Linked DNA regions of Anolis sagrei. The protein of the gene in region 3 interacts with the protein of the main gene of each other region in a biochemical or structural test. Links are inferred from orthologs where the notes say so. Each region holds a gene or a part of one and is shown on either strand. Other genes may lie near its edges. The genes, in order: CAMK2D, ZBTB16, HDAC4 and NR2C1.

Region 1 (7,772 bases), on a different chromosome or scaffold from region 3:
TTGAGGTCTTTTCTATTTCCAGAATTGACTTTACACTTTGGGGATCATATATATGAAAACACAAGGGAAAGCAAGGTCAGTGTACTGAATCCCAAGCGCTCCTTTCCCATCACAACAGGCAGTGGAGGTGATGATGTCTTATGCCATACACTGATTTCTGTCGCTATTTTTTATTATTATTTTGAAAACTTAAATGGGCATTCCTACTTGAGCCATGCATGTGAACCAGAGGCCCATTCCCTTCGCTCCTGTGGACGCCCCAGTTTCTTCCATTCCCACCCAAGACAGGTGAGAAGGGGAGAAAATCCCAAAACTCATCTGATGAAGGATTTTGTGGATTGCTCTGAGTTTTCCGAGCTGTATGGCCATATTCCAGAAGCATTCTCTCCTGATGTTTCACCCACATCTATGACAGGCATCCTCAGAGGTTGAGGGGTCTGTTGGAAACTAGGCAAGTGAGGTTTATATATCTGTGCAATGCCCAGGGTGGGAGAAAGAACTTTCCTCTTCTTGAGGCAGGTGTGAATGTAGCAACTGGCCACTTTAATTAGCATTCAATGGTTTGGCAGCTTCAAAGACTGGCTGGTTGCTGCCTGGGGAATCCTTTGTTGGGAGGTGCTAGCTAGCCCTGATTGATTCTTGTCAGAATTCTGTGAAGGGAGGAAGTGGAAGGGAAGCTCGGCATGGAGGAGTCGCTCGACCTGAGAGCGCTGAACTTTCTGCCTCGGTAAACGTGGCACCTCGAGCGTCTGAAGCGGAAAGCCGGCTTCGTCCGCGGAATGGGGGCAGCTGCGCCTCCTTCCTTCCTTCCCTCCCTCCCCACCGGCACCTCGGCCTTCCGCCTCCCCCTCTTTCTGCCGCCCTTCTTCCGCGGGGACTGGGCTGGAGCTGCCCAGGGGTGGGCTCCCTTCTCCCGTGAGGAGATGCTGCCAATGACCCTGGGCCAAGGGCGGGCCGAGGCACGGAGCGGACTTCAAACACACCCCTCCCTTGGAAGGGGATGAAGGCCCACATCCAGCCCATGCGCGCCTGGCCTCCCAGCCCTCAAAACGGACCCATTTCCCCCTTGCCTCTTTCCATCATCCCTTCCTTCTTCCCTTTCCTTCCTTCCTCTCCCTCTATATTCCCTTTTCCCTTCCCTCCCTTTCCCTCACCTCTTCTTCCCTTTCCTTCCTCTCTTCCTACATTCCTTCTTCCCTCTTTCCTTCTCTCCTTTTCCATCACCCCTTCCTTCTTTCCTTCCTTCCTCTCCTACTATATTCCTTCTTTTCTTCTCTCCCTTTCCAGCATCCCCTCCTTCCCTCTTCTCTCCCTTCCTGCGTTCCTTCCTTCCCTCCCTCTTTCCATCATCCCTTCCTTCTTCCATGTCCTTCCTTCCTCTCCTACATTTCCTCTTTCCTTCTCTTCCTTTCCAGCATGCCTTCCTTCCCCCTTCCTTCCTGCGTTCCTTCCTTCCCTCCCTCTTTCCATCACCCCTTCCTTCTTCCCTTCCCTTCCCTCCTCTCCTCCTACATTCCCTCTTTCCTTCTCTCCCTTTCCAGCATCCCTTCCTTCCCTCTTCCCTCCTTTCCTTCCTTCCCTCTTTCCATCATCCCTTCCTTCTTCCCTTTCCTTCCTTCCTCCTATATTTCCTCTTTCTTTCTCTTCCTTTCCAGCATCCCTTCCTTCCCTCTTCCCCCCTTCCTGCGTTCCTTCCTTTTTCCCTTTCCTTCCTTCCTCTCCTCCTACATTCCCTCTTTCCTTCTCTTCCTTTCCAGCATCCCTTCCTTCCTTCCCTCTTCCCTCCCTCCTTGCATTCCCCCTTCCTTCCTTCCTTCCTTCCTTCCTTCCTTCCTTCCTTCCTTCCTTCCCTCCCTCTCCCCGCGGGGCCACTCACTTCCCGAGCTCCTCGAAGAGCTGGTACTCGTCGGTGAAGCGGGTGCAGGTGGCGGTGGAGGCCATGGCGGGCGCGGGGGGCTTCGGCGGGAGGAAGCGGCGGAGCGAAGGGGGCCTGGGCAGCAGCAGGAGCGGCGGCGGCGGGAAGAGGAAGGCGAAGGCGCGGCCGCTTCCCTTGCCTTTGCCTCGCCGCCTGGGCTGCCTCGTCCTCGGCGTCGTCGTCCGGGCGAGCCCTTCTGCCCGCCCCCTCTTGGGCAGCTCCTTTTGGGCGTCCCCGGGGCGGAAGGAGGGCGGGAGAGAAGGGAGGGCCCACACTTCCTCCCTCTCCCCTTCTTTTCGGGGTTGGGCTGGGAAGGAGGCGAGTCTCGGCAGCAGCAGCAGCAGCAACTCCGACGGCAACCGTGACGGGCTTAATAATTATCCGTCCCGAGAGAGAGAGGGAGAGAGAGAGAGGCGGCGGACTGGAGCCGAGGAAGCGAGGGCGACAAGTGTCCCTTTGGAGGCGACCTGGGATGCCCTCCTGGGCGCAGTTCCCTTCCCGACGCCCAGCCTGGCCACGCAAAGCCACTCTGCGCTTCAGGTCAAGCCAGGCTGGCGACCAGCAGCCCCTTCCTTCCTTCCTCGCTGTCTTCCTCTTTCCTCCCTCCCTTCCTCAGGCTCCAGCTTCTCCTCCTCCTCCTCCTCTCTCGGTCCCACACCTCCCTCTAGCGACAGCCGGGCTCTTCCTCTCGCCGGAGCGCTGGGCAGGAAAGCGGCGCGCTGCCCGCCTGACCTCTCCCGCTCTTTCCCCTCCCTCCCTTCCTCCTTCCTTCCTTCCTTCCCTCCCTTTCCTCTAAGCCTCTGTTGACACACACGGAGCGCAGTCCTTGAGAGCTCCACGTCCTCGCCAGCCCTCCAAAATCCTTTGGCCTCCCTAAACGGGTGTTTGGGAAGGGGGTGGCCGTCTCACAGGCACCCACCAAGGGAAGGGCTCTCCCTTGATTTCACGGCTCTTTTCTATTTTGGTTGCTCTTGTGTGGACCAATAAGTCTACACATTCCTGGCTTTCGGAAATGCTCCTCTGAAGAGGAAAGAGGCTTTTCGGGATACCTCATCATCTCCCCTCCCTTTCCTTTTTTGAGGGGAGGAGGAAGGAGCCCCACCCCCGGGGTGATTCCCTCCTTTTCCCTCCCCTTTGCTTTGGGTGGCGTCACAACCCGACACGCGCGCCCGCTCAGCCACTCTCTGGGTGGAAACGCAGCAGCGGGGAGGGGGGGGGGGGGAGGAAATTAAAGCGCCACTTCCAAACTCTCGCGAGACTGTTGCCAACCTGGTTTAAGGAGAAGGCGTCGTTGGGATGCTGCTTGTAAGAGAGCTTGTGAAGAGGGAAGAATGCAGTTGCCAAAGGGGGGAAAAAAGGCACAGATTCCAAGGCAGCATCTTCCACTGCTGAACAGCTCTCGCTGTCAAGAAATTCTTCCTAATGTTTAAATATTAACAAGTCAAATTGATCTAAATCAGGGGTCCTCAAACTAAAGCCCGGGGGCCGGATATGGCCCTCCAAGGTCATTTACCCGGCCCTTGCTCAGGGTCAACCTAAGTCTGAAACGACTTGAAAGCACACAACAATAAAAACAATCCTATCTCATCAGCCAAAAGCAGGCCCACACTTCCCACTGAAATAGTAATAAATTTATATTTGTTAACATTGTTCTTCATTTTAATTATTGTATTGCTTTTAAGTGGTTTTTGCACTACAAATAAGGTATGTGCAGTGTGCATAGGAATTCATTCATGTTTTTCCAAATTATAATCCGGCCCTCCAACAGTTTGAGGGACTGTGACTTGGCCCTCTGTTTAAAAAGTTTGTGGACCCCTGATCTAAATGTTCAGGCAGAATATCTTTTCCTGCAATTAAAATCCACTTCTCCATGTCCTAGTCTGGAGTTAGGTGCCACCTCTATGCAGATGACACACAACTCTACTACTCATTTCCACCCAATTCCAAGGAGGCCTCCCGGGTCCTGGACAAGTGCCTGGCCGCTGTGTCTATCTGGATGAGGAGGAACAAGCTGAAGATCAATCCAGACAAGACAGAGGTCCTCCTGGTCAATCGTAAACCTGACCGGGGTATAGGGTGGCAACCTGTGTTGGACGGGATTACACTTCCCCTGAAACCACAGGTCCACAGTTTGGGAGTCCTCTTGGATTCATCGCTTACACTTGAGGCTCAGGCGTCGGCGGTGTCTGGGAGGGCTTTCACACAATTAAGACCCGTGCGCCAACTGCGACCGTACCTTGCGAAGGCTGATCTGGCCGGGGTGGTCCATGCCTTGGTCACCTCTAGATTGGATTACTGTAATGCGCTGTACGTGGGGCTGGCCTTGAAAACGGCTCGGAAATTTCAACTGGTCCAACGAGCAGCAACCAGGATGTTAACTGGCGCTCCTTACAGAGAGAGGTCAACCCTCCTGTTCAAGGAGCTCCATTGGCTGCTGTTTATCTTCCGAGCCCAATTTAAGGTGCAGGTGCTTACCTACAAAGCCCTGAACGGTTTGGGACCACCCTACCTGCGTGACCAAATCTCCGTCTACGAACCCACGCGTTCTCTCCATTCATCTGGAAAGGCCCTCCTCGTGATCCTGCCTGCGTCGCAAGTGCGTTTGGTGCGGACATGAGGCAGGGCCTTTTCCGTGGTGGCCCCCGACTCTGGAACACCCTCACCAAAGATCTTAGACAGGCCCTACATTGGCAGTCTTCAGAAAGAACTTGAAGACCTGACTGTTCCGATGTGCCTTCCCAGAATAGGAAATCTCCAATACCAAGTCCCAGAAGCACTTTATTAGAACTAAGATTGCCGCACTCTGCACATTGCACTTACCCAATAATCCTTACATATCACCTGTCACATCAGCACTTTTAATTCTGTACCCTTTACTCTGGCCCGGCCAGGTTTTATTGTGTTTTGGTGTATTGTTTATTGCTTGTTGTTTTGCTGTTTAATATTGCTTTAATTGTTTTTAATTTGCTTTAGGTTTGTATTGTTATGTTGAGTTTGAGGCCTTGGCGTTTGTAAGCTGCATCGAGTCCTTCGGGAGATGCTAGCGGGGTACAAATAAAGTTAATAATAATAATAATAATAATAATAATAGTCTCAGAGCAGCAGGAAACAAGCTTGCCCCTTCCTCAATATAGCATCCTTTCAAATATTTAAATATGGCTCTCATACCCACCCTGGAAGTCACTCCATTATCTGGCTCAAAGATAGTTGTCATGTTAAGGATTGCATTGAGAGGTTGCATTTCTGTGCACACTTTTAACAATCCTCACTGAATGCAATGGGGTTTTGGAGTGATTAGGTATTGCACTCTTAGGCATGCGTATCTGTAAACCTCATGATTTTCCTGAACATTTTGATGCCACCCTCTTATTTCTCAGTGTCCCTTTTCAATCCTGATTATATGTATTTTAAGTTTTCATTGCATCAAAGCATTTCAAATGAAGACATTTAAAATACAGATCAAAATTCAAAGATATAACTGTTGACAACTATAATTATAAACTGAGAAGTTAACCATGGCCGAAAAACAACTACTCAAAAATCTGTAACATTAAATTCTTGTCAGAATTCATGTATGATGTTGTTTCATAGTGGTACATGTCAAGCTAGACCAGCATTTCTCAACCTAGGGGTCGGGACCCCGGGGGGGGGGGGGAGGTCATGAGGGGATTTCAGAAGGGTCACCAAAGACTATCGGAAAACATATATCTTTCTTTTTTTATTATTAAATTTTTATTGATTTTAAATACGTATACAAAATACAAAAGAGTTACAACACATGTGAGAGGTAGGGCAAGGGAGAGGGAGAAGAAGAAAAAAAGGGGGGGGGGGAATGGGGTATCTTTCTGATAGTCTTAGGAACACCTTTGGCAGAGAAGGCCGAAGATCTTTCCACCTATCCTTTTCTTCCTTTTTGGAAACAGATGGCAAATCCTCCTACCATAAGCCCCCCCTGCTGTGATTGGCTGGCCTCTCAGCCAAGGGGAGAGCTGTTTCTGAGACTCCACACAAGGAGGGGGGAGCAGGCGTGTTCGGTGCATGGCAGCGTGGTGCACATGTGCGGGAGAGGGAAAGTATGTGAGGTTGGAGGGAGGCTTGCACCAGTGAGTCCCTTCAAGGCATGAGGGTTTTGTGAGGAATGTTTGGCCTAATTCTATCATTGGTGAAGTTCAGAATGCTCTTTGTAGGTGAACTATAAACCCCAGAAATTACAACTCCAAAATGTCAAGTTTTATTTTCCCTAAACTCAACAAGTGTTCACTAGGCCTGGGCGGTTTTGTTCGTTAATTTTGTAATTTGTTAAATATTCATTATTTTTAACAATTACAAAATGATTACAAAACTTATTTTCAAACCCGGAAGTGTTTTTAAATATCGAAACGGCTATCCTCCATCTTTTTTACGAGCTTCCGCCCGTTTCGGAAATGACGTTTTAGGGATGGAGGATGCTGGGTGCGCCGGGAGCCAATCCGGCGCTCCCAAGCACCGTGGCTCATTGTGATTGGGCGGGCTGCCCTTTAAAAGCGGCTCCGCATGGCCGCATTACTCATTGCGAAGGCGAGGAGACGGGAGGTGCGGGAGGGAGGCATGGCTTGCTTGCATTCATTCATTGCTTGCATTCATTCATTCATTCACATTCATTGTTGGGAGAGCGAGGGCGGTTTAAGGACCTGGGCTGGGAGCAGCGGGGAGGCTTTGCCTTGTTTTCGCCCCACAACAGGGCAGGGCAAGCATTTTGTTAATTTTCCATTTTTAAATATTTCTGATAAATATTTCTTTTATTCTTAAAAAAAATCAAAAAATATTCTAAAAAAAGAAAAAAAACTTGTGTGCCTGTGTGTGTGTTTGTCCCTGTCCTGCGGCTGTGTTTGCTCCACAACAGGGCAAGCATTTTGTTAATTTTCCATTTTTAAATATTTCTGATAAATATTTCTTTTATTCTTAAAAAAAATCAAAAAATATTCTAAAAAAAGAAAAAAAAGTGATTTGCGCATGCGCGCGGGGGGGGGGGTCTGCCATCTTAACGAATCGATTCGTTAATAATAACGAAATTTCGTAAATACCGAACCCTTTTAAAGGAAAATTTTGTAATTCTTTTAAATAACAAAACGCAAAACCCCCCCAAAAACGAATCAATTTTAGAAACAAATTTTTGCGTTGTTACCCAGGCCTAGTGTTCACATTTGGGCATATTGAGTATTTGTGCCAAGTTTGGTCCAGATCTATCATTGTTTGAGTCCACAGTATTCTCTGGATGTAGGTGAACTACAACTCCAAAACTCAAGGTCAGAGACCAAACCCTTCCAGTATTTTCTGTTGGTCATGGGAGTTCTTTGCGCCAAGTTTGGTTCAATTCCACCATTGGTGGAGTTCAGAATGCTCTTTGATTGTAGATTAACTATAAACCACAGCAACTACAACTCCCAAATGACAAGATCAACCACCACACCCCACAACCCCACCAATATTCAAATGTGGGTGTATTGGGTATTTGTGCCAAATTTGGTGCAATGAATGAAAATATATCCTGCATATCAGGTATTTACATTAAAATTCATAACAGAAGCAAAATTACAGTTATGAAGTAGCAACGAAAATAATTTTATCATTGGAGGTCACCACAACATGAGGAACTGTATTAAGGCGTTGCGGCATTAGGAAGTTTGAGTTATTTAAATACTGAACAGACTTATTATTTCCAATTCGTATGTGTGTTTGCATGCCATCATTGAGTTTCTTCCCATTTATAACGGAAACAGTAATCTAATCTTCTGCCTCAGTCTCCATAAACAAAGAATCAAGTAATTGCAAAATAATAACATTCCACCCCACCTCTTTTAGTTCAGGATATTTTTCC
Region 2 (6,938 bases), on a different chromosome or scaffold from region 3:
GGAAGCAACCTTGTGGGCCACCCAGTCCACCCCATTCTACCAAGTTATAAGAAAATCGCATTGAAATCACTCCTGACAGATGACCACCTGTTTCAAAGTCTCCAAAGAAGGAGCCTCCACCACACTCTGGGGCAGAGAGTTCCACTGATGAACAGCTCTCTCACACAGTTAGGAAGTTCTTCCTAATGTTCAGGTGGAATCCCCTTTCCTGTAGTTTGAAGCCATTGCTCTGTTGCTTCAGGGCAGCTCTCTCCTTGCTTTGACTTCCCCTCACCTCTTGATACATGGCCCTCATCACGCCTCCTCTCAGTCTTCTAAGGAGCCCCCGTGGTGCAATGGGTTAAACCTTTGTGCCAGCAGGACTGAAGACTGACAGGTTAGAGGTTCTAATCTGGGGAGAGCGCGGATGAGCTCCCTCCATCAGCCCCAGCTCCCCATGTGGGGACATGAGAGAAGCCTCCCACAAGGATGGCAAAGCAAACCCTTGTGCTGGCAGACCCTTGTGCCAGCAAGACTGAAGACTGACAGGTTGGAGGTTCAAATCTGGAGAGAGCACAGCTGAGCTCCCTCTGTCAGCTCCAGCTCCCCATGCGGGGACATGAGAGAAGCCTCCCACAAGGATGGTAAAGCAAACCCTTGAACTGGCAGACCATTGTGCCAGCAAGACTGAAGACCAACAGGTTGGAGGTTCGAATCTGGGGAGAGCACAGCTGAGCTCCCTCCATCAGCTCCAGCTTCCCATGCGGGGACATAAGGCAAGCCTCCCACAAGGATGGTAAAGCAGACCCTTGAACTGGCAGACCATTGTGCCAGCAAGACTGAAGACCGACAAGTCGGAGAGTGTGGATGAGTTCCCTCCGTCAGCTCCAGCTCCCCATGTGGGGACATAAGAGAAGCCTCTCACCAGGATGGTAAAGCAAACCCTTGTGCCGGCAGACCCTTGTGCCAGTAAGACTGAAGACTTACAGATTTGAGGCTCAAATCTGGGGAGAGTGCGGATGAGCTCCCTCCATCAGCTCCAGCTCCCCATGTGGGGACATGAGAGAAGCCTCCCACCAGGATGGTAAAGCAGACCCTTGTGCCAGCAAAACTGAAGACCAACAAGCTAGAGGTTCAAATCTGGGGGGAGCGTGGATGAGCTCCCTCCGTCAGCTCTAGCTCCAAACCCTTGTGCTGGCAGACCCTTGTGCTGGCAGGCCTGAAGACCCACAGGTTGGAGGTTTGAATCTGAGGAGAGCATGGATGAGCTCCCTTCGTCAGCTCCAGTTCCCCATGCAGGGACATAAGAAAAGCCTCCCACTAGGATGGTAAACCAAACCCTTGTGCCGGCAAGACTGAAGACCAACAGGTTGGAGGTATGAATACGGGGAGAGCACAGATGAGCTCCCTCTGTCAGCTTCAGCTCCCTATGTAGGGACAGGAGAGAAGTGTCCCACAAGGATGGTAAAGCAAACCCTTTTGATGACAGGACTGAAGACTGACAGGTTGGAGGTTAGAATCTGGAGAGAGCGCAGATGAGCTCCCTCCGTCAGCTCCAGCTCCCCATGCAAAGGGGACATGAGAGAAGCCTCCCACAAGGATGGTAAAGCAGACCCTTGCGCCAGTAAGACTGAAGGCCAACAAGTTGGAGGTTTGAATCCGGGGAGAGTGCGGATGAGCTCCCTCCATCAGCTCCAGCTCCTCGTACAAAGGGTACATGAGAGAAGCCTCCCACCAGGATGGTAAAACATCAAAACATCCTTGCAGACGGGCAATTCTCTCCCAGCAGAAGCGACTTGCAATTTCTCAAGTCATGAAAAACAAACAAAGCCTTCTCTTCTCCAGCAACCCATTAAAAAGCCTTCCACAACACACCCTGACTATTCTTATTATTATTATTATTATTATTATTATTATCCCGAATCCCATCCTTACAATCCTTGATATCTTGACCATCCTGAGAGCTATTGTCATTGTGATCCTTCTCTTTACCGTCCTTACTATTTGGGAGAGAAGAGTAAGTAAGTATTTGGGAGAGAAGAGGGGCCAAACAAACGGGGGCACCCTCTCTCTCTCTCCTTCCACCTCTGTCCAAGAAGAGCCATTCCTCTCCTGACCATATTTACTCTCTTTATTGTTGCTTGCTACTCCTCCGAGTGTTTACTCTCCTCCCAGTCCTTAGTATTGCTACTCCTCCGACTCCTGACTATCCTCCCCTTCCTTATTATTGCTACTCCGAAGAGCTATGGATGCTCTTCTGCTCCTCCAAAGGTGCTCTTCAGGTTCTCTTTCCTCTCCGTCGCTCGGTCTCCATGCTTTCCTATTTTGCGCCTCGGTTCGCCTTCTGCACATGCTCTTTGCCCTCTTTCCCTGGGACGCAACCTGCAAAACTGCCCCCAGAAGGGAAGAGGAGAACCCATGGAAGGACTCGAGCCGGCTTTGGAAGGAAAAGGAACCAAACAGGTCCTTGGAACGAGGTGCCCAAAAGGAGAGCTCGTCCTCGTGCTTAATTACGCACCAAAAGGAGAAAGAATACATATTTTGCGCCCCGGTTCGCCTTCTGCACATGCTCTTTGCCCTCTTTCCCTGGGACGCAACCTGCAAAACTGCCCCCAGAAAGGAAGGGAAGGACCCAAGCAAGGACTCGAGCCAGTTTTGGAAGGAAAGGGGACCAAACAGGTCCTTGGAATTAGGAGACCAAAGGGAGAGCTCGTCCTCGTGCGTAATTACGCACCGAGAGGAGAAGAAAGAGTTGGGTTCGGCATTGCGCCCCACGAAAGAGTTGGGTTCGGCGGAGACTCACCGGTTTGGGGGGCTTCTTTCCCCCGGGCAAAGGAGGCTGGAGAGGGTCTCGGAAGGGCCGGAGGAAGAGGATGGAGGAAGAGGAAAAGGAGGAGGAAGAAGAGGAAGAGGAAGACGCGGCGGCGGGCGGAGGAGCAGCATCGCCCGCGAGTTGGCAGCGCCGGCTCCGCGCGTCTCTCTCTCTGGCCGGGCGGCGAGGCGAGCGAGGAGGGCAAGCAGGCGCCGCTGAGGAGCGGACCCGAGGGAAAACGCCCCCTCCGAGGACACGCCCCCCTCGCCACGCCCACTCCCGCCCCCTCCCCTCCCTCCCTCCACCGACCAGGCTCCATCTTGGCTCCTGGCACCTCACTTTGGGCACCCAGGCAAAGGGAAGGAAGGCGGCACAGAGTTTGGAAAGGACCTCCGTGGCCATTCCAGCTTTTTTCTTTTCACAATCTAAGCCCTCCCGACAGAAGGCCATCCAGACTCTGGGTGCTTTCTCGCAGTCAGGGGGCTCTCCCTCGAGGGTCATCCATCCCAACTCCCTTCTGCCACCTGAACATGAGGAAAAACCACCTGACACATTGAAGAGCTCTTCAACAGTGGAACTCTCTGCCTCAGAGTCCTTCCTTGGAGACTTTCAAAGAGAGGATGGATGACCATCTGTCAAGGGTGCTTTGATGGTGCTTTTCCTTCAGATGGCCCAGAGGGTCCCTTCCAACTCTATTATTATTATTGAGGCTGGATGGCCATCTGTCAGGAGTACTTTGATGGTGCTTTTCCTGCATGGAAGAATGGGGTTGGACTAGATGGCCCTTGGGGTCTCCTTCAACTCTATTATTATTATTATTATTATTATTATTATTATTATTATTATTATTATTGAGGTTGGATGGCCATCTGTCAAGGGTGCTTTGATGGTGCTTTTCCTTCAGATGGCTCATGGGGTCCCCTCCAACTCTATTATTATTGTTGTTGTTGTTGTTGTTGTTATTATTGAGGCTGGATGGCCATCTGTCTGGAGTACTTTTGATGGTGCTTTTCCTGCATGGCAGAAGGGGGGTTGGACTAGATGGCCCTTGGGGGTCTCTTTCAACTCTATTATTATTATTATTATTATTATTATTATTATTGAGGCTGGATGGCCATCTGTCAAGGGTGCTTTGATGGTGCTTTTCCTTCATGACAGAGTAGGGTTGGACTAGATGGCCCATGGGGTCCCTTCCAACTCTATTATTATTACTGTTATTAATGTTGTTGCTATTGAGACTGGAGGGCCATCTGTCAGGGGTGCTTTGAAGGAGATTTTCCTGCTTCTTGGCAGAATGAGGTTGGACTGGATGGCCCACAAGGTATCTTCCAACTCTAGGATTCGATGATTTCTATGATTATTGAGGCTGGATGGCCATCTGTCAAGGGTGCTTTGATGGTGCTTTTCTGCATTGCAAAAGGGGTTGGACTAGATGGCCCTTGGGGTCTCTTCCAACTCCATTTATTATTATAATTATTAATAATAATATTATTGGGGCTGGATGGCCATCTGTCAAGGGTGCGTTGATGGTGCTTTTCTGCATGGCAAAAGGGGTTGGACTAGATGGCCCATGGAGTCTCTTCTAACTCTATTATTATTATTATTACTACTACTACTAATACTATTAAGGCTGGATGGCCATCTGTTGGGGATGCTTTGATTGTGCCTTTCCTGCATGGCAGAAGGGGGTTGGACTAGATGGCCCATGGGGGTCTCTTCCCACCCTATTGTTATTATTATTATTATTATTATTATTATTATTCCTACTCCTAGTACTATTACTACTGAGCCTGGATGACCATCTGTCAGGGTTGTTTTGATTGTTATTTTCCTCCATGGCAGAATAGGTTGCACTAGATGGCACGTGGACTATCTTCCAACCCTACTATTATTATCATTATTATTGAGGCTGGATGGCTATCTATCAGGTGTGCTTTGATTGTTCTTTTCCTGCATGGCAGAGTGGGGTTGGACTAGATGGCCCATGGGCTCTCTTCCAACTCTATTATTCCATGATTCTATAAAGGAAGGCACAACTCAAACACTTCCAAAGAAGGAGCCTCCACTTCACTCTGAGGCAGAGAGTTCCCCTGTTTAACAGCTCTCCTTATGGCCAGGAAGCTCTTTCTCATCTTCAGCTGCTCCCTCTTCCTTGTGACCTCCTTTCCAATATTGGAATATGGCCCTGATGTTTCCAGGATAAGAATCTCCAGGTCCTTAAGCCGCTCCTCAGAGGGATGATGCAAGGTCTCCAGGTCTTGGTTCATGATAGTGGTCTCTTCCAACTCTATTATTCCATGATTCTATAAAGGAAGGCACAACTCCAACACTTCCATAGGAGGAGCCTCCACTTCACTTCGAGGCAGAGAGTTCCACTGTTGAACAGCTCTCCTTATGGCCAGAAAGCTCTTCCTCATCTTCCTTGTGACCTCCTTTCCAATATTGGAACATGGCCCTGATGTCTCCTCTCACCCTTCCCTCCTGCAGGATAATACGCATCTCCAGGTCTTTAAGCCGCTCCTCAGGGGGATGATGCATGGTCTCCAGGTCTTGGTTCATGATAGTGGTGAATGGGTTCCTTGTGACCTCCTTTCCAATATTGGAATATGGCCCTGATGTCTCCTCTCACCCTTCCCTCTTGTAGGATAAGCATCTCCAGGTCCTTAAGCCGCTCCTCAGGGGGATGATGCAAGGTTTCCAGGTCTTGGATCATGATCGTGGTCAGTGGGTCTACTTGAGTGGGGACTTTCCTGCTCCTGCTGGACAGCGCTTTCTGGCTTTTGCCCGGATCCAACATGGAAGCGGTGGTGGCTTCGCCTGATAGGAGGGAGGGTGGGAAAGCCACGCCCCCTCCTCCCTCAGCCACGCCCCCTCCTCCCTCAGCCCCGCCCCCATCAGGCACCTGCTGCTTCTGCCCCAAACTCACCCAAGAAAGAGAGAGAGAGAGAGACCCCTCCCCAAGGCAGGGACCCTTCCCAAGGGAGACAAAGGCTCCTTCTCCACTCCCGACCCCAGGACAGGAGCCCACGCGGGATTCTCTCTCCAAGGCACGTGTCTGCGTGTGTGGAAGCGGAGGAGGAGTGGAGTCCCCTGCTTGGCCAGGGCTCGTGGGCGCCCCCACGCGGGTGGATTGGCACGCCGAGAAGGAGGGAGGGAGAGAGAGAAGGGGGGAAGGAAGAAAGAAAGAGAAGAAAGGAGAGAAAGAGAAGGAGGGAGAGAGGGATGGCAAGGGAGGGGAAGAGGAGGAAAGAAAGAGAAAGGGAGAGGGAAAGACAAAAGGAGAAAGAGAAAGAGGGGATGGAAAGAAAGGGAGGGAGGGAGGGAATGAAAGAGGGAGGAAGGGAGAGAGAAAGAGAAGAGAGAAGGAGAAAGAAAAGGGGGGTGGAAAGAGAGAAAGAGGAAGGGAGGGATGGCAAGAGAGGGAAAGAGGAGGAAAGAAAGAGAGTGAGGGAGTGGAAAGAAAAAGAGAAGGATAGGCAGAAGAGAAGGAGAAAGAGGGGATGGAAGGAGAAGGAAAAAAGAAAGGAAGGAAGGGAATGAAGGAGGGAGAGAGAAAAGAGAAGGAGAAAGAGAAAGGAGGTTGGAAAGAGAGAAAGAGGAAAGGAGGGGTGGCAAGAGAGGGAAAGAGGAGGAAAGAAAGAATGAGGGAGTGGAAAGAGAAAGAGAGAGGGAAAGGCAGAAGAGAAGGAGAAAGGGGGATAGAAAGAGAGAAAGAGAAAGAGAGAAAGAAAGAAAGGGAATGAAGGAGGGAGGAAGAGAGAGAGAGAGAAAGGCAGAAGAGAAGGAGAAAGACTAGAGGATTGAAAGAGAAAGAAAAAAGAGAAAGGGAATGAGAGAGGAAGAGAGAGAATGGGAGAAAGGAGAAGAGAAGGAGAAAGAGAAAAGGGGATGGAAAGAGAGAAAGAGAAAGAAAAAACAAAGAGAAGGAATGGAGGGAGGGAGAAAGAGAGAGAAAGAGAGGAAAAGGCAGAAGAGAACGAGAAAGAGAAAAATGGATAGAAAGAAAAAGAAAGGGAAGGAATGAAGGAGGGAGGAAGAGAGAGAAAAGAGAAAGAGCGGGAAAGGCAGAAGAGAATGAGGAAGAGAAAAGGGGATGGAAAGAGAGAAAGGGAAAGAAAGAAAATGAATGGAGGGAGGGAGGAAGAGA
Region 3 (7,467 bases):
TAGGTCATGAAACAATGGCTTCAAACTACAAGAGAGGAGATTCCATCTGTACATGAGGAAGAACTTCCTGACTGTGAGAGCCGTTCAGTAGTGGAACTCTCTGCCCCAGAGTGTGGTGGAGGCTCCTTCTTTGGAAGTTTTTAAACAGAGGCTGGATGGTCATCTGTCAGGGGTGCTTTGAATGCAATATTCCTGCTTCTTGGCAGGGGGTTGGACTGGATGACCCATGACATGCGCCTTTCACCTTAAGAACAGACAAGCATCCCGTGCTCTGAGGATTACCTGGGAAGGAATCCCACTGGAGCATTGCAGCACACCCAAATACCCGGGAGTCACTCTGGACCGTGCTCTGACCTACAAGAAGCACTGCCTGAACATTATCACAGGGTGTCTGCGCCCCACACCACTGGAGAAATTACACTGCTTAGCTGGTATTGCACCACCTGACATCCGCCGGGAAGTAGCAGACAATAGTGAAAGGACCAAGGCAGAAACATCTCCAGCTCATCCCCTGTTTGGGTATCAGCCAGCACGTCAACGACTTAAATCAAGACATAGTTTTCCTAGATCTACAGAGACACTTGCTGGAACACCCCAGCAAGCGAGAGTCCAAAAGTGGCAGGCCCAAACCCAGCACCTCAATTCATGGGTGATACCAGATGAGAGACTCCCCCCTGGGCACTCAGAAGACTGGGCGACTTGGAAGGCGCTGAACAGACTGCGCTCTGGCACCACGAGATGCAGAGCCAACCTCAAGAAATGGGGCCACAAAGTGGAATCCACGGCATGCGAGTGTGGAGAAGAACAAACCACTGACCACCTGCTGCAATGCACCCTGAGCCCTGCCACACACACAATGGAGGACCTTCTTGCGGCAACACCAGAGGCACTCCAAGTGGCCAGATACTGGTCAAAGGACATTTAATCAACTACCAAGTTTGCAAAATCTGTGTTTTTTAAAAATCTGTTTGTTTGTTTTGTTCTGTCAAAAATGTAATACAATGGTATGGTTGCTAATAACACGATAAATAAATAAGTCCCTCCTGACACGACCCCCAGGTTGAGAAAGACTGTTCTATGATATACTGAGGGAGCCCGTTCTACAGGGATATCCGTGCCAGGCTTATCTTACCTCTGATATACAAGCACCCAGGCCATTCAGGACAATTTTATACCTCCATGCTACTTGCAGATACTAATTCAGCTACAACCTACAATGTTGCAAAGTTCTGTGCAGCAGCATAAAAAATTTGCCAGGGAATGACTAGTCCCAAAGTCAACTGTGTGTCCAGTAATCTTCTTCCCTGAATCTGCAATTTGGTGATGGATCTGGGCATTGTATGTTTTTAACCTGTTTCCCCTTCTGCTCCCTCACCCATATTGTGCTTTAGTAGTTATATTTATATTTTTAATGTACCAAACATACCAAGTTTGTATGAAAATGTGACTCTATTTCCTGTGCTGGTCAATGACCGAAATAAATGATTTGATTCAGTTCTTGTGGGTTTTTTCGGGCTATATGGCCATGTTCTAGAGGCATTTCTCGTGACGTTTCACCTGCAATCAATCAATGATTTGATTGATTGATATACTGAGTTATATGCCTGTGCGGAAGGGCCCACAGAAAGAGCACATGAGACATGCACATTGGCAGACGGTTGTTTCCCCATCCTTTTTCCTGGAGGTTCCGTTTGGCTTCCTCTTTCCATTTTGCCTACAACCCTGTGGGGTGGACTCAGCAAAGAGCCTTAAATCCTAGGAGAGGCCTGATCGCTCCTGCTTCAAACAAGAGAGAGAGGGCCTGCTCCTGCTTATCTATCAGCAGAGCTGCCCAGACAAAAGCTTCGGGTACCACAGCCTGGAAAGGACCGCACCGAGGCTGTTCTTTGCCAGGGCCATTTTCCCAGGAGTCAAAGCGCTCCATTCAGAAGGCCCGGCCTGCTCTTCTTCCTCTGTCAATATCCCAGCCATTACACCGCAGGAGGATGACTGACTGACCGACTGCCTGACTGAAATCGTGCCCTGAGGCAGGCGAAAAGGCGAGCGGCCTTCCTCTCCTCTCCTTTCCTCTCCTCCCTCCTCTTGGCAGCCGGGACACCGCCCAGCCTCGCCCTCGGCTCCACCGCATCTCCCTCCTTCCCTGAAGCGCACGCTCTACTCACCCCTTCGGCCCAGAAGGCGAGGAAGAGGGAGGGGCTTGCTTGGGAGGCGAGACGGGCGCGGCTCCGGGACCCACCCGCCTCATTCATAAAACGGAGCCAGCGCGCGAGGCAAGGAAGGAAGGAGGGAGGGAGGGATGGGTTCCCAGCGAAGGGGTAAATACAGCGGCGCTCTCCGCCGAAAGGGCGGCTCCCCTCCGATAGGTCGGAGCAGGTGTCAGTCAAGGGCTCAAGGCCCGCCCCTACCCTCACCCCGCCTCTTCACCCAACGCCGGGGCATCCGAGAACATGGGCTCAAAAGCACCCGCCAAGGCGGCCAACGGGGCCCTGATTGGTGCTTCGAAGCGCCACTCAGCCGCCTTCCTACTACCCCCCCTCCCCGCGCGCGCGACCCCCACACACTCCAGCCCTGGGCATTCTATTGCCCTTCCCCCTCCTTGCCCTCCCTCCCTCCGCGCGCTCTTCCTCCTTTGCATCCCCTCCCACCGCGGTTGGGGTCTTACCAGGCACACGTTTCGAAACAGAAAGGGACCCTTTAAGGCTGCTTTAAAAGCCGGAGGACACAATTTCCCTCTATCTCTCCCCCCGCTTTTTTGTTTAAAGGGGAAGTGCGAATAACGACTGCAGAATAATAACTGGCCTCAGAACGGGGTTTTTTTTTCCGGGCCAAGCACTTACCTCAGCCGGAGACATTCAGACGGCAAGACCCGCAGAGAATGCGGGGAAGGGAGGAAAGCAAGCAGGCAGGCAAGCCCTCGGCGCTGGCACAACGGTGCGCGCGCCGCCAACGGAATCAGCCCGTGACGGGACCCGCCATCTTGGAGTTTTCAGATGGAAAGTCACGTGGTACAAACCTCCTTTTTTTTTTCCCTCCCCCCTATTTTGCTCCCGCGGGCCAATCAGAGAGCGGGGCTATTAATAGCAACGTTTCCCTCCTCCCTTGCTCTCCCCCTCCTTTCTCCGACGCCGGAAGTGGAGTTGATTTCGGCTGATTTCGGAAGCGGGAGGCGTGGCTCTCTTCGCGAGTCTCCGGCCAGATTTCTCTCTCTCTCTCTCTCTCTCTCTCTCTCTTGCCATGTATCTCAAAGCCCACGCCGGCAAGAAGGGGCAAGCAAACAAAGAGGGTCGCCCTCCCCTCTTTCCTCTCTCACACACAGAACTGGAGGCCATAGGCAGCCACCATGGAGGTCTCCCGGGAGAGGCGGATGAGCTCCCTCTATCAGCTCCAGCTCTTCATGCGGGGACATGAGAGAAGCCTCCCACAAGGATAAAAACATCAAATCATCCGGGCATCCCCTGGGCAACGTCTTGCAGAAGGCCAATTCTCTCACACCAGAAGCAACTTGCAGTTTCTCAAGTCGCTCCTGACACGACCAAAAAAATGGAGGTGGAACCAAGTCGCCACAGAAAATGCCTCTCTGTACACCGTGTTTACATAGCTTCAGGGGGATTGAATGTTTCATATCCAAAGCCGAGGTTGTGTACCTTGAAATATCCAAGAAGCAGGAATATTGCATTCAAATCACCCCTGACAGATGGCCATCCAGCCTCTGTTTAAAAGCTTCCAAAGAAGGAGCCTCCACCACACTCCGGGGCAGAGAGTTCCACTGCTGAACGGCTCTCACAGTCAGGAATACATAGGAATTCATTCATGGGTTGTTTTTCAAATTATAATCCGGCCCTTCAACAGTTTGAGGGACTGTGTCCTGGCCCTCTGTTTAAAAAGTTTGAGGACCCCGGCTCTATGCCTTCTAGGTTCAACAGGCTAATTCACCAGCCAACTAGGTCATGTATTGGAAGCATGCCCAACTGCCACTCGTGCCAAACACCATTTGTCTAAGTGATACCGTACTTTCAGAACCTGCTATTTTTGTAAGCTATGCTGACAGACACACCAAAGATCCTGGGCACCATGATGAAAACTACTCTTCTTTCTGCTTGTAGTATTCATGATAATAGTAGGTTTCCTGAGCTCACAATTGACCTGGCTTCCAGTAAGACTAGACTGAGGTCGGGGTGTGTGAGGCAGGATGTCAACTACCTAGCACATCTTCAATCACCAGCTGGTCAAGTTGTCCACCTTCTCTAGACTTCTGTCCCTTCTACTCTTATTCTCACCTGATCATATATACTTGTTCCATAGAATCACTTCATTGTTTGCACTTCCTGAGCTATCCCTGTAAATCTAAAAAGCCAAATACATGGCATGTAAAGTGTTTTAAAGCTGTGATGGCGAATGATTCAGGTAGAGCAATATAGCTGGAGAATGTCATCAAGCCAGGTGCCCACATTAAAGTTCTTTTTGTGTTGCTTTCTCAGTTGTAGCAAAGAGTGATTATATTGAAAGAACCTGTCAAAAGTCAATAGACATCTTACCAAAATTGGGAGAACAAAAATATGTTTCCACTCCCACAAGATATTCTGTTATTGTTTTTTTTAAAAAAAAATAATAATCCTAAACTGATGACAAGGCAAGCAAAATAAATAAATAAATAAATCCAAGGAACATATTGCTCAAAAACATTAAAGCACACAAGAAAATGTTCTTTTAAATGTGCCAGAAACAGAAAGCCAGCCAGGGTGGCAGTGCCAGAACTTGGTCATAGGCAACAGGCAGATGGATGCCAGGAATCGGGATTTGTGCCCGGCAGCCTGACCAAAGGAACAAACAGCAGTCAGAACTAAAGAATACACCGAAAAACAGGAGGATTGTTCCTGTTCATCATTAAAGCACTCAGTCCAAATAGGAAGCTCTTCCTAGCCAAGAAAGCTCAATGGCCAGCTTGTTATTACACTGCTTGTAGAGCTGCTGGTTTCCTGGTTCTACCAAGTGGATTGCTGGGTGACAAAAGAGTGCCAAAGGGGACCACTGCAAAGTATTGTTTTCACTCTCTTCTGGTTCAAGACAGGAACGTTCCAGTCCAGCTACAGTCTCTTAGAGTGCTTCCAGACAGTGCCAAAACCCGCATTTTAAATGATGACAAAAATCCCAGACTGCAGATCCCCACACAGACCTGTTAATCCCGGGATTGAGTCCCTTGCCATCCTCACAGCCTTCCTCTGTATCGGAACAATCATGGAATCATAGAATCACAGAGTTGGAAGAGACCTCATGGGCCATCCAGTCCAACCACCTGCCAAGAAGCAGGAATATTGCAATTAAATCACCCCTGACAGATGGCCATCCAGCCTCTGTTTAAAAGCTTCCAAAGAAGGAGCGTCCACCACACTCCGGGGCAGAGAGTTCCACTGCTGAACGGCTCTCACAATCAGGAAGTTCTTCCTCATGTTCAGATGGAATCTCCTTTCTTGTAGTTTGAAGCCATTGTTCCCTGTCCTAGTCTCCAGAGAAGCATAAAACAAGCTTGCTCCCTCCTCCCTGTGGCTTCCTCTGACATATTTATACAAAGCTATCATATCTCCAAGATGGAGGATGTACAAGGGACATCCAATGGAAGAGGTTTTTAAAAAATTCACTCCGTTTTTCACTGGAATGTATATGCACAAATATGAACATCTTAGTATATATATAAGTAGATCCGCATGTGTGCATATGAGTGCATAACAGAAGGACAGGGTAGAAATGTTCAAAATAAATAAATCATAATCAAAAATCATAATCATAATCAAAATGATTTTGGACATTTTTCAATTTATGCAAATTGGGTTTTTGATACAAGGAAAAATTCAGGAGATATTCCAGATAAAAATTCAAATTAATAATGATTTGCTACTATGGGGAGTGTTGGATCATCCGAGTATAATAACTAATTGCCAGGAGTTATTTAAGGTAACAATAAGAGCAGCCCATGCGGTGATTGCTAGAGGATGGAAAGACAAATCGAAATGGACGTTAAGTAATTGGAATGATTATATGTATGACCAAGTGCTGTTAGATATTACGGGAATTATGACTAAGCAAACACCAAGAATGGACAAAGAAAAGATCATTACAAATAGATGGAAGGTCTACTTCAACTGGGTGAAAAATGGAGAAGCCAACGATCACATCAAAGAAAAAAAAATACAAAGACTCTACCAGTGGCTGGATCTGCAAGATTAGTAGAAATATACTGTGGTTAAAGAGGGAGGGAGAGGGAGGGAAGGTGGAGATAATGTAATATACACCAGAGTAAATTAACATAATGTCTTTAATATTTGTTGAATGACTCAGGATTTATATGTGTAACACTTGGAATTTGGCTTATTGATCTGTGTGTATAACATAATAAAATATCTTAAAAAAAAAAACAAATTGGGTTTTTGCAGTTGCCCATGCCTGTGTATGTAAAATAGTTAGAAAGCTCTAGTCATAAGAGAGTACTTTGTTGCCTGCTCCCATTCTTATGTTTTTTTTTTTATTAATGTGATATCAGGATGTATTTGGACATACTCTGAAACTCTCTTGATCATGAAGATATATTTCTTGCCTTGTAAGGAATTTCCTAAAAAAAAAATACATTGGGGTTTTTTGGGGTTTTTTTTTTTTTTTGTTTTTTTGCATATGATATGGGGGGGGGGGGTGGGGAAGAAGTAGCTGATGGCACTATTGCTGTTATCTAGATGGAAACAGTTCTAGTTAGGAATAGTTTGCATGGATTTTCGGTTGAAAATGTCTTAAACTTGAGTGAATGCCACATGCACAATGGAGGACCTTCTTGCAGCAACACCAGAGGCACTCCAAGTGGCCAGCTACTGGTCAAAGGACATTTAATCAACTACTAAGCTTGCAAACTTTGCAAACTGACAAGCTTTGTTTGTTTGTTTTGTTTGTTAAAAAAATGCAATGCAACTGTTTGGTCTGCCCCTGACACAATAAATAAATAAATAAACTTATATTGTACATATTGCTTCTCCAACTTAAATATCCACCAAATGTATATATAAAAGCCAATAATCTTCATGCATACATATATGTTATAATATTATATTACATTAATTATCTGTAATAGATATATGTAACTTGTAGCATGTAGTATTTACCCAACTTTCTCTTCAAATTTAATGTGACCCTGAAACATCCTTAGAAAAACCAGACCTCCTACTTCTAGAAACTAAATTTTGTTGCTTCCGACTCTTCGTGACCTCATGGATCAGCCCACACCAGAGCTCCCTGTCGGCTATCACCACCCCCAGCTCCTTCAAGGTCAATCCAGTCACTTCTAGGATGCCATCCATCCATCTTGTCCTTGGTCGGACCCTCTTTCCTTTTTCATTTGGTGTGTTGCTCTTTAGAGCATCGGATTCGTCATTCACCTCCAGCACCGTTGGCCACTAGCCTTCCTTTCGGCTTTAAGCTATCTGCATC
Region 4 (7,975 bases), on a different chromosome or scaffold from region 3:
GTTATAAAACATTATGTTTTTGTGCTTAATTTGTAAAATCATAATGGAATTTGACATTTAATATGCTTTTTCTTAATCCCTCCTTATTATCCAACATTCTGCTGGCCCGTTTATGTTGGATAAGCGAGACTCTACTGTAACTGTTAAATGATTTTTGAATGGTTATTTATGTCATTCTTATAGAATTTGGTTTTATTGTTATATGTGTTTGCTATTTGTACTGTTTCTAAATTGTTGTGAGCCACTTTCGGGTCCCATTCAAGGAGAAAAGTGGGATATTAATAAATATATTATTATCTAAGGGTTGCTTCTGAAGAAATAGTTTTAAATCAAGAAATGGTTTTCTAAGATCTACAGAGACACTCAATGGAACACCTCAGCAAGCGAAAGTCCAAAAGTGTCAGGCTAAAACCCAGAACCTCAACCAATGGCTGATACCAAATGAGATACTCCCTCTTGGGCACACAGAAAACTGGGCAACCTGGAAGGCACTGAACAGACTGTGCTCTGGCACCATGAGATGCAGAGCAAACCTTAAGAAATGGGACTACAAAGTGGAATCCACAACATGCGAGTATGGAGACGAGCAAACCACAGACCACTTACTATTTTATTTTATTTCTTCATCATGTTATTTTGCATCTGTTTATTGCATTTTCTGTTATTTTATGTATTTTATTTTGATGTTATTATTTGCTGTTTGTATTTTATTTGTACTGTAATTCTGTGCTTGGTCTCATGTTAGCCGCCCCGAGTCGCCTTTGGGGAGATGGTGGCGGGGTATAAATAAAGATTATTATTATTATTTTACTGACACAAAATCGCAGTATGTCACAGCAAATGAGATCTATATGTTGGATTTTGTATCACAAGTAGATACAAATACCTCACTACCTCTGAGGATGCTTGCCATAGATGCAGGTGAAATGTCAAGAGAAAATGCCTCTAGACCATGGCCATATAGCCCAAAAAAACCTACAACAACCCAGTGATTCCGGCCATGAAAGCCTTCGACAATACAAGTCGAACACTTCCCAAACGTCTAGGACTGTGTGATGTATTTTCGAATGATGTGTGCAGATCCAACTAAGGTGGCCTTTTGCAGTTGATAGATTGTGATTTTCTCAATATTTATTGTTTCCAAATGCTGGCTGAGATCTTTTGGCATGGCAGCCAGTGTGCCGATGACTACTGGGACCACCTGTGCTGGTTTATGCCAGAGCCTTTGCAGTTTGATTTTGTGGTCCTGATAATGGTTAAGTTTTCCTCAATTTGACTGTCACCCCGTATGACAACATCAATAATAATAAATAATAATAATAAACTTTATTTACCAATGGGGACTCGGGGTGGCTTACATGAGGCCAAGCCCAATCAACGAATTAAAACCAAAAACACATGCAACAAACAACATCATAATTACATAAAACATATGAATACATTAATGATATAAGATTACAATAAACACAGTCACAGTGACAATGGGTGGCTACATGTGCGAGAAAATGATTTAAAAACTGATTAAAAACACAGGTGAGATAAAAGGAGAAGCAGGTTATTTGCGGAGGGGAGCTTATTAAAAGGAGGATTGTGGAATTGAGCTTTCCCACGAAGGGGGGGGGGGGGTAATACAAACTTATTATTATTATTATTAGATGAGTCCACAGGAAAAATGATCACTCTGCTGGCTGTTGTATTGCATTACACATTGGGCAGTTCTCAAGTGTCTAGGACTGTGTGATGTATCAGTGAATAATGGGTGCAGATCCCAGTAAGGTTGCCTTTTGCAGCTGGCTGATGGTAATCTTGTCAGCGCCAACTGTGTTTTAAGTGCAGGCCAAGGTTTTTAAGCACTGCACCCAGTGTGCTGATCAGCACTGGGACCACCTTTACTGGTTTGTGCCAATCACCACAGGGACCACCTTTACTGGTTTGTGGCAGAGTGTTTGCAGTTTGATCTTTAAATCCTCATATCGTGTCAGCTTCATTATTATTATTATTATTATTACTATTATTATTATTACAATGCAACCTGAGCCCTGCCACATGCACAATGGAAGACCTTCTTATAGCATCACCAGAGGCACTCCATGTGGCCAGCTACTGAAAAAGGACATTTAATAAAATGCCAAGTTTGCAAACTTTGTTTTTAATACAACCGTTTGGTTTGCTCCTGACACGATAAATAAATTATCTAAGGGTTCACGGCGAAAACAGCGCAATGTATTCACGAGATTCTCTTTGTGTGCAGCTTGGAAGCAAAGAAGCAGAGACTGCCTTGCTTCCTCCCTCCCTCTCGCCTTTCGGCTGTCACCCAGGGGCCCCAACATGGCTGCTGTCGCCCCCTCCGGCGCCCCTTCCTCCCTCCCTCCGTCCCTCCCTCCCTGCCCAGGAAGCCCGGCTGGGCTGCGGAGAGAGAGGCGCGGGCCTCGGGGCGCGGCCTGGATCCGGGGAGGGGAGACGCAAGCCTTTCCTGTGGGTGAAAGGTCAGGGGGGCGGCGGCTGCTCGGCTGCCATTGCGAGGCTGAGCGGAGCACGGCGCCCAGGACGCCCTTCCTCCCGCCCTTCCTCCCCTCCTTCCATTTTCGGGAGGCTCCCTCAAGGAAGGCAAGAAGGGCCTGGGAAGGCCTCGCCCGTCCGCCCCAGCTCCTTCCTTCCTCCTCCTCCTCCCGTTCCCCCGCCCCCGACTGACCTGACAGGCGCGACGCATCCGCAGCCCCCTCAGGGCTTATTTGACGGCGGCGGGAGGTCAGAGGTCGTGACCCCGGCCCCGCCTCGCGCGGCCTACGCTCACGTTCTCCTCTCGGCGCCCCTCCCTCCTTCCGTCCCCTCAGCCGCCGCCACAACCGCCGCCGCTTCAAGGCCCGGTTGCGCTTGCGCAAAGCGAGCCCATGGCGGAGGCGGAGCGAGTGTCACCGTGCCGCACGCACGGCGGGGGAAGAAGGGAAGGGGAAGAGAAGGGAGAAGAGCCAGGCGCGTCGTCATGGCGACGGAGGGGGGAGTAGTAACGGGGGAAGGGAACAGCCTTTTGAATGGTCTACCTCAGGGTCAGGTTAAGCGTCTTCTGCGCATGCGCGACGGTGAGCCTCTCTTTTATCTTCTCTCTCTCCACAACCTCCTGCTATAACCTCCTGCTATTGGTGGGCCTTTTCAAGGACTGGGCCAAAAACCCCTATCAGCCAGTGATGCTTTTAGATGGGCTGTTTTCTCCAACATGTTTGTGTGTGTGATGGGATGTGTATGTTTGTGTGTATGTGTTGTATTTCAGTGTCAACACTGACACTGAAATTCAACACCGCCTAAGCTCTGCGAGTGCAGAGTGTTTGAGGGCCGGAACATCCATAGGAATGCCAAGGTGCTTGTTTATAAAGCTCATTAAACACCGAGAAAACCAAAGTGCTATTCCAGCAGTCACCAGCCAATCCCTCTCCAATGCCAGAAATACAACTTAATGGTGTAACATTAGAAAATGTTGACCATTTCCACTACATTGGCAGCCACCTTTCCACAAAAGTCAACATTGACACTGAAATTCAACACTGCCTGAGCTCTGTGAGTGCAGCATTTTTCCAAATGAAGCACAGAGTGTTTAAGGACCAGGACATCCATAGTGATACCAAGGTGCTTGTTTATAAAGCTATTGTCCTGCCAACCCTGCTATACGCCTGCAAAACATGGACTGTCTACAGACATCACATGCAACTCCTAGAACGATTCCATCAGCACTGCCTCTGAAAAATCCTACAAATCTCAGGTGAACAAATGTCAGCGTGCAGGAAGAAGCAAAGACCACCAGAATTGAAGTGATGGTGCTCCGCCATCAACTCCGCTGGACCAGCCATTTTTTCTGGACCACTGTCTCCCAAAGCAGTTGCTCTACTCCGACTCAAGAACAGAAAACGGAATGTTGGCGGGCAGGAAAAGAGATTTAAAGATGGGCTCAAAACCAACCGTAAAAACTCTGGCATAGACACTGAGAACTGGGAAGCTCTGGACCTTGAGCGCTCCAGCTGGAGGTCAGCTGTGACCAGCAGTGCTGTAGAATTTGAAGAGGCATGAATGGAGGGCGAAAGAGAAACGTGCCAAGAGGAAGGCGTGTAAAGCCAACCCCAATCAGGACCGGCTTCCACCTGCAAACCAATGCCCTCACTGTGGGAGAACATGCAGAACAAGAATAGGGCTCCACAATCACCTATGGACCCACCATCAGTACACCGATCTTGGAAGACAATCCTACTCGGACAACGAGGGATCGCCTAAGTGTGTGTGTATCTCCTTACTTAGAATTACAGATTTGAGAGAGACCCTGCAGGCCATCTGTAACATTAATATTAATAATAAAATAATAATAATACCATCTGCTGGAGGCAAATAGAGGGAGAAAACGTGGAGGCAATGACAGACTTTGTATTTCCAGGTGCAAAGATTACTGCAGGCGCAGACTCCAGCCAGGAAATCAGAAGACATTTAATTCTTGGGAGGAGAGCAATGACCAATCTCGATAAAATAGTGAAGAATAGAGACATTACACTGGCAACAAAGATCCACATGGTTAAAGCAATGGTATTCCCCACAGTATGTCAGAATATGGATATGAGAACTGGACCATAAGGAAGGCTGAGGGAAGGAAGATAGATGCTTTTGAACTGTGGCGTTGGAGGAACATTCTGAGAGTGCCTTGGACAACAAGAAGATCCAACCAGTCCATACTCCAGGAAATAAAGCCTGACTGCTCATTGGAGGGAAGGATATTAGAGGCAAAGATGAAGTACTTTGGCCACATCATGAGAAAACAGGAAAGCTTGGAGAAGATAATGATATTAGGGGAAATGGAAGGAAAAAGGAAGAGGGGGCAACCAAGGGCAAGGTGGATGGATGGTATCCTTTGAAGTGACTGGCTTGACTCTGAAGAAGCTGGGGGTGGTGAAGGCCGATGGAACCGCTGGCGTGGGCTGGTCCATGAGGTCACGAAGAATTGGAAGAGACTGAACGAATAAACAACAACAATCTACTGGAGACAAAGAACTGGTAGGATCACACACCTGAAAAGGTTATGGAAAATGAAACCATCAAACTACTCTGGGACTTCTGAATTCAGACTGATAGAGTTTTGAAGCACAATACTCCTGATCTCACAAAAAAAGTATGGGTCGTCGATGTTGCAATCCCAGACAACAGCAGGATTGACAAGAATAAACTGGAAAAGCTTACACGATATGAGGAATTAAAGATTGAGCTGCGAAGACTGGCACAAGCCAGTAAAGGTGGTCCCAGTGGTCATCAACACACTGGGTGCAGTGCCTAAAGACCGTGGCCTGTACTTAAAAACGATCAGAACTGACAGAATTACCATCTGTTAGCTGCAAAAGGCTACCTTAGTTGGATCTGCATGCATCATTTGATAAACATTTTATTTTGAAACTATAGTATTTCAGTAGATGACCTAAGAATATGAAAGCAAACAATATTTTCTCAAGATGGTATAGGCTTTTATAAACCACAGTTGCCCCACATTACATTTTGTCTATATTTTCAAATTCTTAATAATTCAAACATGTTTTTCTTGTGCAGAAAGGTGCCCCAGGCCCATGAGAGTATTAGTTGCCCTTTTCTGCAACACTTCTAAGTTCTGTTTTAGGATTATCATGACACCAGATCTCATATGTATATGCTATAGAGAAGGCAGCAAAGTGCTTAGTTGTCATTTGTGTAATGAATGATACTGACATTGGTTTTAAAAAATAGCATCCATTTCACTGCTTTCTCTTCTGGCTAATGCGTATAAGAATTGCAATTCACCATCTGCAGATTACATGTTCTCTTGTAATACAAGGAAAACAGATACTATATATTGTAGTCACCGAATTATCAAAGCTGGCTCATTGATTGGGATGGGTAAAAAACTGGCTGAAGATGAAGAAACATAAAACAAAATCCGGAAAGGAAAATAGTATTATTTTCAGGATAAACTGAACCAAAAGTTTGCCTCCATTTATTTATTTATTTATTTGTCAATTAAACTTCAGAGCATTCTTTGATCTAATGCTGCTTTTGAATGCTTCGGTCAAAGCTTTTTGGCTGTTTTGATTAGTACTCTAGTTGGATTTTTAGCTGGCACAGTACTATTTTAGTATCTGTAGCTGGCTGGGAATATAGTTGTGAATTGGGAGATTTGTATGAAATTAAATGAAGTGAAATTGAATTGTGGCATTTGGGATTTTGCTGATGTGCTGACATTCTTCGATTAAGTCGTTTTTCTCAGCAGTGCTAGTTCATCTTATGAAAATGCATTAACTAGTAGTAGATAAGAAATGAGAGTTGTGTGGCATTCCAGTTTTAGCATTCCAGTCCCACCCTGAATCATCAGGAAAGAACAAGTCAGCCTTCTGATCAAAAATATCTATAAATATAGGCAGGGCACCAATACTTCCTCATTTGTCCTCAGCTTCAGCATCACAGCAACTAAAGGGCATAGTGATATAATTGCATTATATATCCATATGATGAAATACCATCGTTACTCTTGGACACAATTAACAGCCAAGATAATATATTCTGTATATAAAAAAAACCCCATGGCCAGTCTCTCACCATCCTTTTCTCCCCATTTGTTTGAAAATGTTTCTTTTCTATTTCTCACTCTGAACAAAAATTAAGGAGCAGACATAACACTCCTGGCCAAACTTCCTTCTTTCCACTGCACGTAGCCCTGTGCCAACTAAATACAGAACAGATTTAGGACGGATAAGCTGAGAAATGGGAAAAATGTAATTTCTTAGTAACAAGCAAGGTAGTCTCCCCTATACAGAACAGAAACTATTGAAGAAGAAAGGGCAGAACCTGGAAAATGTACTTTTTAAGAACACAATTTCTATATTCTCCCAGCCAACGTGGCCACTTTCTATGTTTGTTGGGGAATTGGAGTGGCAAGTGTAGAGTGGGATGCAATGGTACAAAACAGTACTTTCCCCCATTTTGATAGATTATTGGTATAGAATACATTCAGAACCGGTTGCTAAGTTGAACTGTGGTCTCAATCTATTTCTTCTTTTATATAGGCCCATTGGATCAATGGGATCTATTAACATGTTGACAATATAATTCTAGCTCTGATAGAAACACAGTGCAGTAGCAGAAGCTGTCACGTAACTGGTTATAGCTTTTAGCATCTAACTTTTAGTTCTGCCAGTCTTAAAACGCACACAAACTGATTTACAGGCCATTCCTCCTGCTGATTTTGTTTCCTTTCTTTCCTCTAAAGTAATTAATAGAAGCACATTCATTTTGTTCACCATGGGGAAAAGTCCATATCATGGGGAAGAAAAAATTCGCAGCCGTCAAAGTATTTTGGAAGAACAGGTCTGTACTTCCTGTTTTACAACAATGTGGAGGAGGAAGGCATTTGTAAACTAGTTTTGATAAAAACAACTATTTGCAGTTATTTTAAACTGTTTTAATCTGTAGTGTTAAAGGTCTGTTTTTTCATTTACTAATTAACAATAGAGTGCAGTCTTTATACACTCAACATAAGAAGCACTTGAAAATTCGGTAAGAGCAACTGAAAGAAAAAACCTGTTAAATATCTCAAGTTCTGTGACACTGAGATATCTGAAGACCTCTATGTCCTGTTCATAATAAAAAACAGATTCATTCATTTGATTTTAAATGTTGAAATGACTGAATGTTCATGAGAAAACATTGCTTATAAAATAAACCAGAACCTGATTACTTGTCCCATTCTAAGGTGTCTTAATGTACAAAGGATAAACTACAAAAACTATATTACCATTTCCCTCAAAGGTTGGGGAATGCAAGATAAAGAATGCTTCTGCACACCTGTACTGCTTGTGGGATATTTTTTGGCAATTCCATGGCCAGAGTCTGAAAGAGAGCAAAACTAGATAGATCCTTGCTCTGTACCAGCATGGCTCATTTTCTTGAGTGATGAAAATGTTAATTACATATGTCACAGTCC

What was found.
Region 1: of the proteins of HDAC4 (region 3) and CAMK2D, one has a biochemical effect on the other in vitro, tested with the Homo sapiens proteins (2 studies listed by BioGRID, with this or other methods). The link is inferred for Anolis sagrei from reciprocal best matches to the Homo sapiens genes HDAC4 and CAMK2D.
Region 2: the proteins of HDAC4 (region 3) and ZBTB16 form a complex in vitro, tested with the Homo sapiens proteins (2 studies listed by BioGRID). The link is inferred for Anolis sagrei from reciprocal best matches to the Homo sapiens genes HDAC4 and ZBTB16.
Region 4: the proteins of HDAC4 (region 3) and NR2C1 form a complex in vitro, tested with the Homo sapiens proteins (2 studies listed by BioGRID). The link is inferred for Anolis sagrei from reciprocal best matches to the Homo sapiens genes HDAC4 and NR2C1.

Annotation. Positions count from the first base shown.
Region 1 is NC_090025.1:33,138,177-33,145,948, forward strand, and holds the start of CAMK2D (calcium/calmodulin-dependent protein kinase type II subunit delta), read right to left. Parts: upstream 3,002-7,772; 5' UTR 1,942-3,001; coding exon 1,877-1,941; intron 1-1,876. UniProt on the Homo sapiens protein: Calcium/calmodulin-dependent protein kinase involved in the regulation of Ca(2+) homeostatis and excitation-contraction coupling (ECC) in heart by targeting ion channels, transporters and accessory proteins involved in Ca(2+) influx into the myocyte, Ca(2+) release from the sarcoplasmic reticulum (SR), SR Ca(2+) uptake and Na(+) and K(+) channel transport.
Region 2 is NC_090027.1:42,594,883-42,601,820, forward strand, and holds the start of ZBTB16 (zinc finger and BTB domain-containing protein 16), read right to left. Parts: upstream 3,006-6,938; 5' UTR 2,783-3,005; intron 1-2,782. UniProt on the Homo sapiens protein: Acts as a transcriptional repressor. Transcriptional repression may be mediated through recruitment of histone deacetylases to target promoters. May play a role in myeloid maturation and in the development and/or maintenance of other differentiated tissues.
Region 3 is NC_090021.1:159,870,524-159,877,990, reverse strand, and holds the start of HDAC4 (histone deacetylase 4), read right to left. Parts: upstream 3,008-7,467; 5' UTR 2,838-3,007; intron 2,684-2,837; exon of another isoform or gene 2,663-2,683; intron 2,311-2,662; exon of another isoform or gene 2,163-2,310; intron 1-2,162. UniProt on the Homo sapiens protein: Responsible for the deacetylation of lysine residues on the N-terminal part of the core histones (H2A, H2B, H3 and H4).
Region 4 is NC_090025.1:155,090,918-155,098,892, forward strand, and holds the start of NR2C1 (nuclear receptor subfamily 2 group C member 1), read right to left. Parts: upstream 3,015-7,975; 5' UTR 2,693-3,014; intron 1-2,692. UniProt on the Homo sapiens protein: Orphan nuclear receptor. Binds the IR7 element in the promoter of its own gene in an autoregulatory negative feedback mechanism. Primarily repressor of a broad range of genes.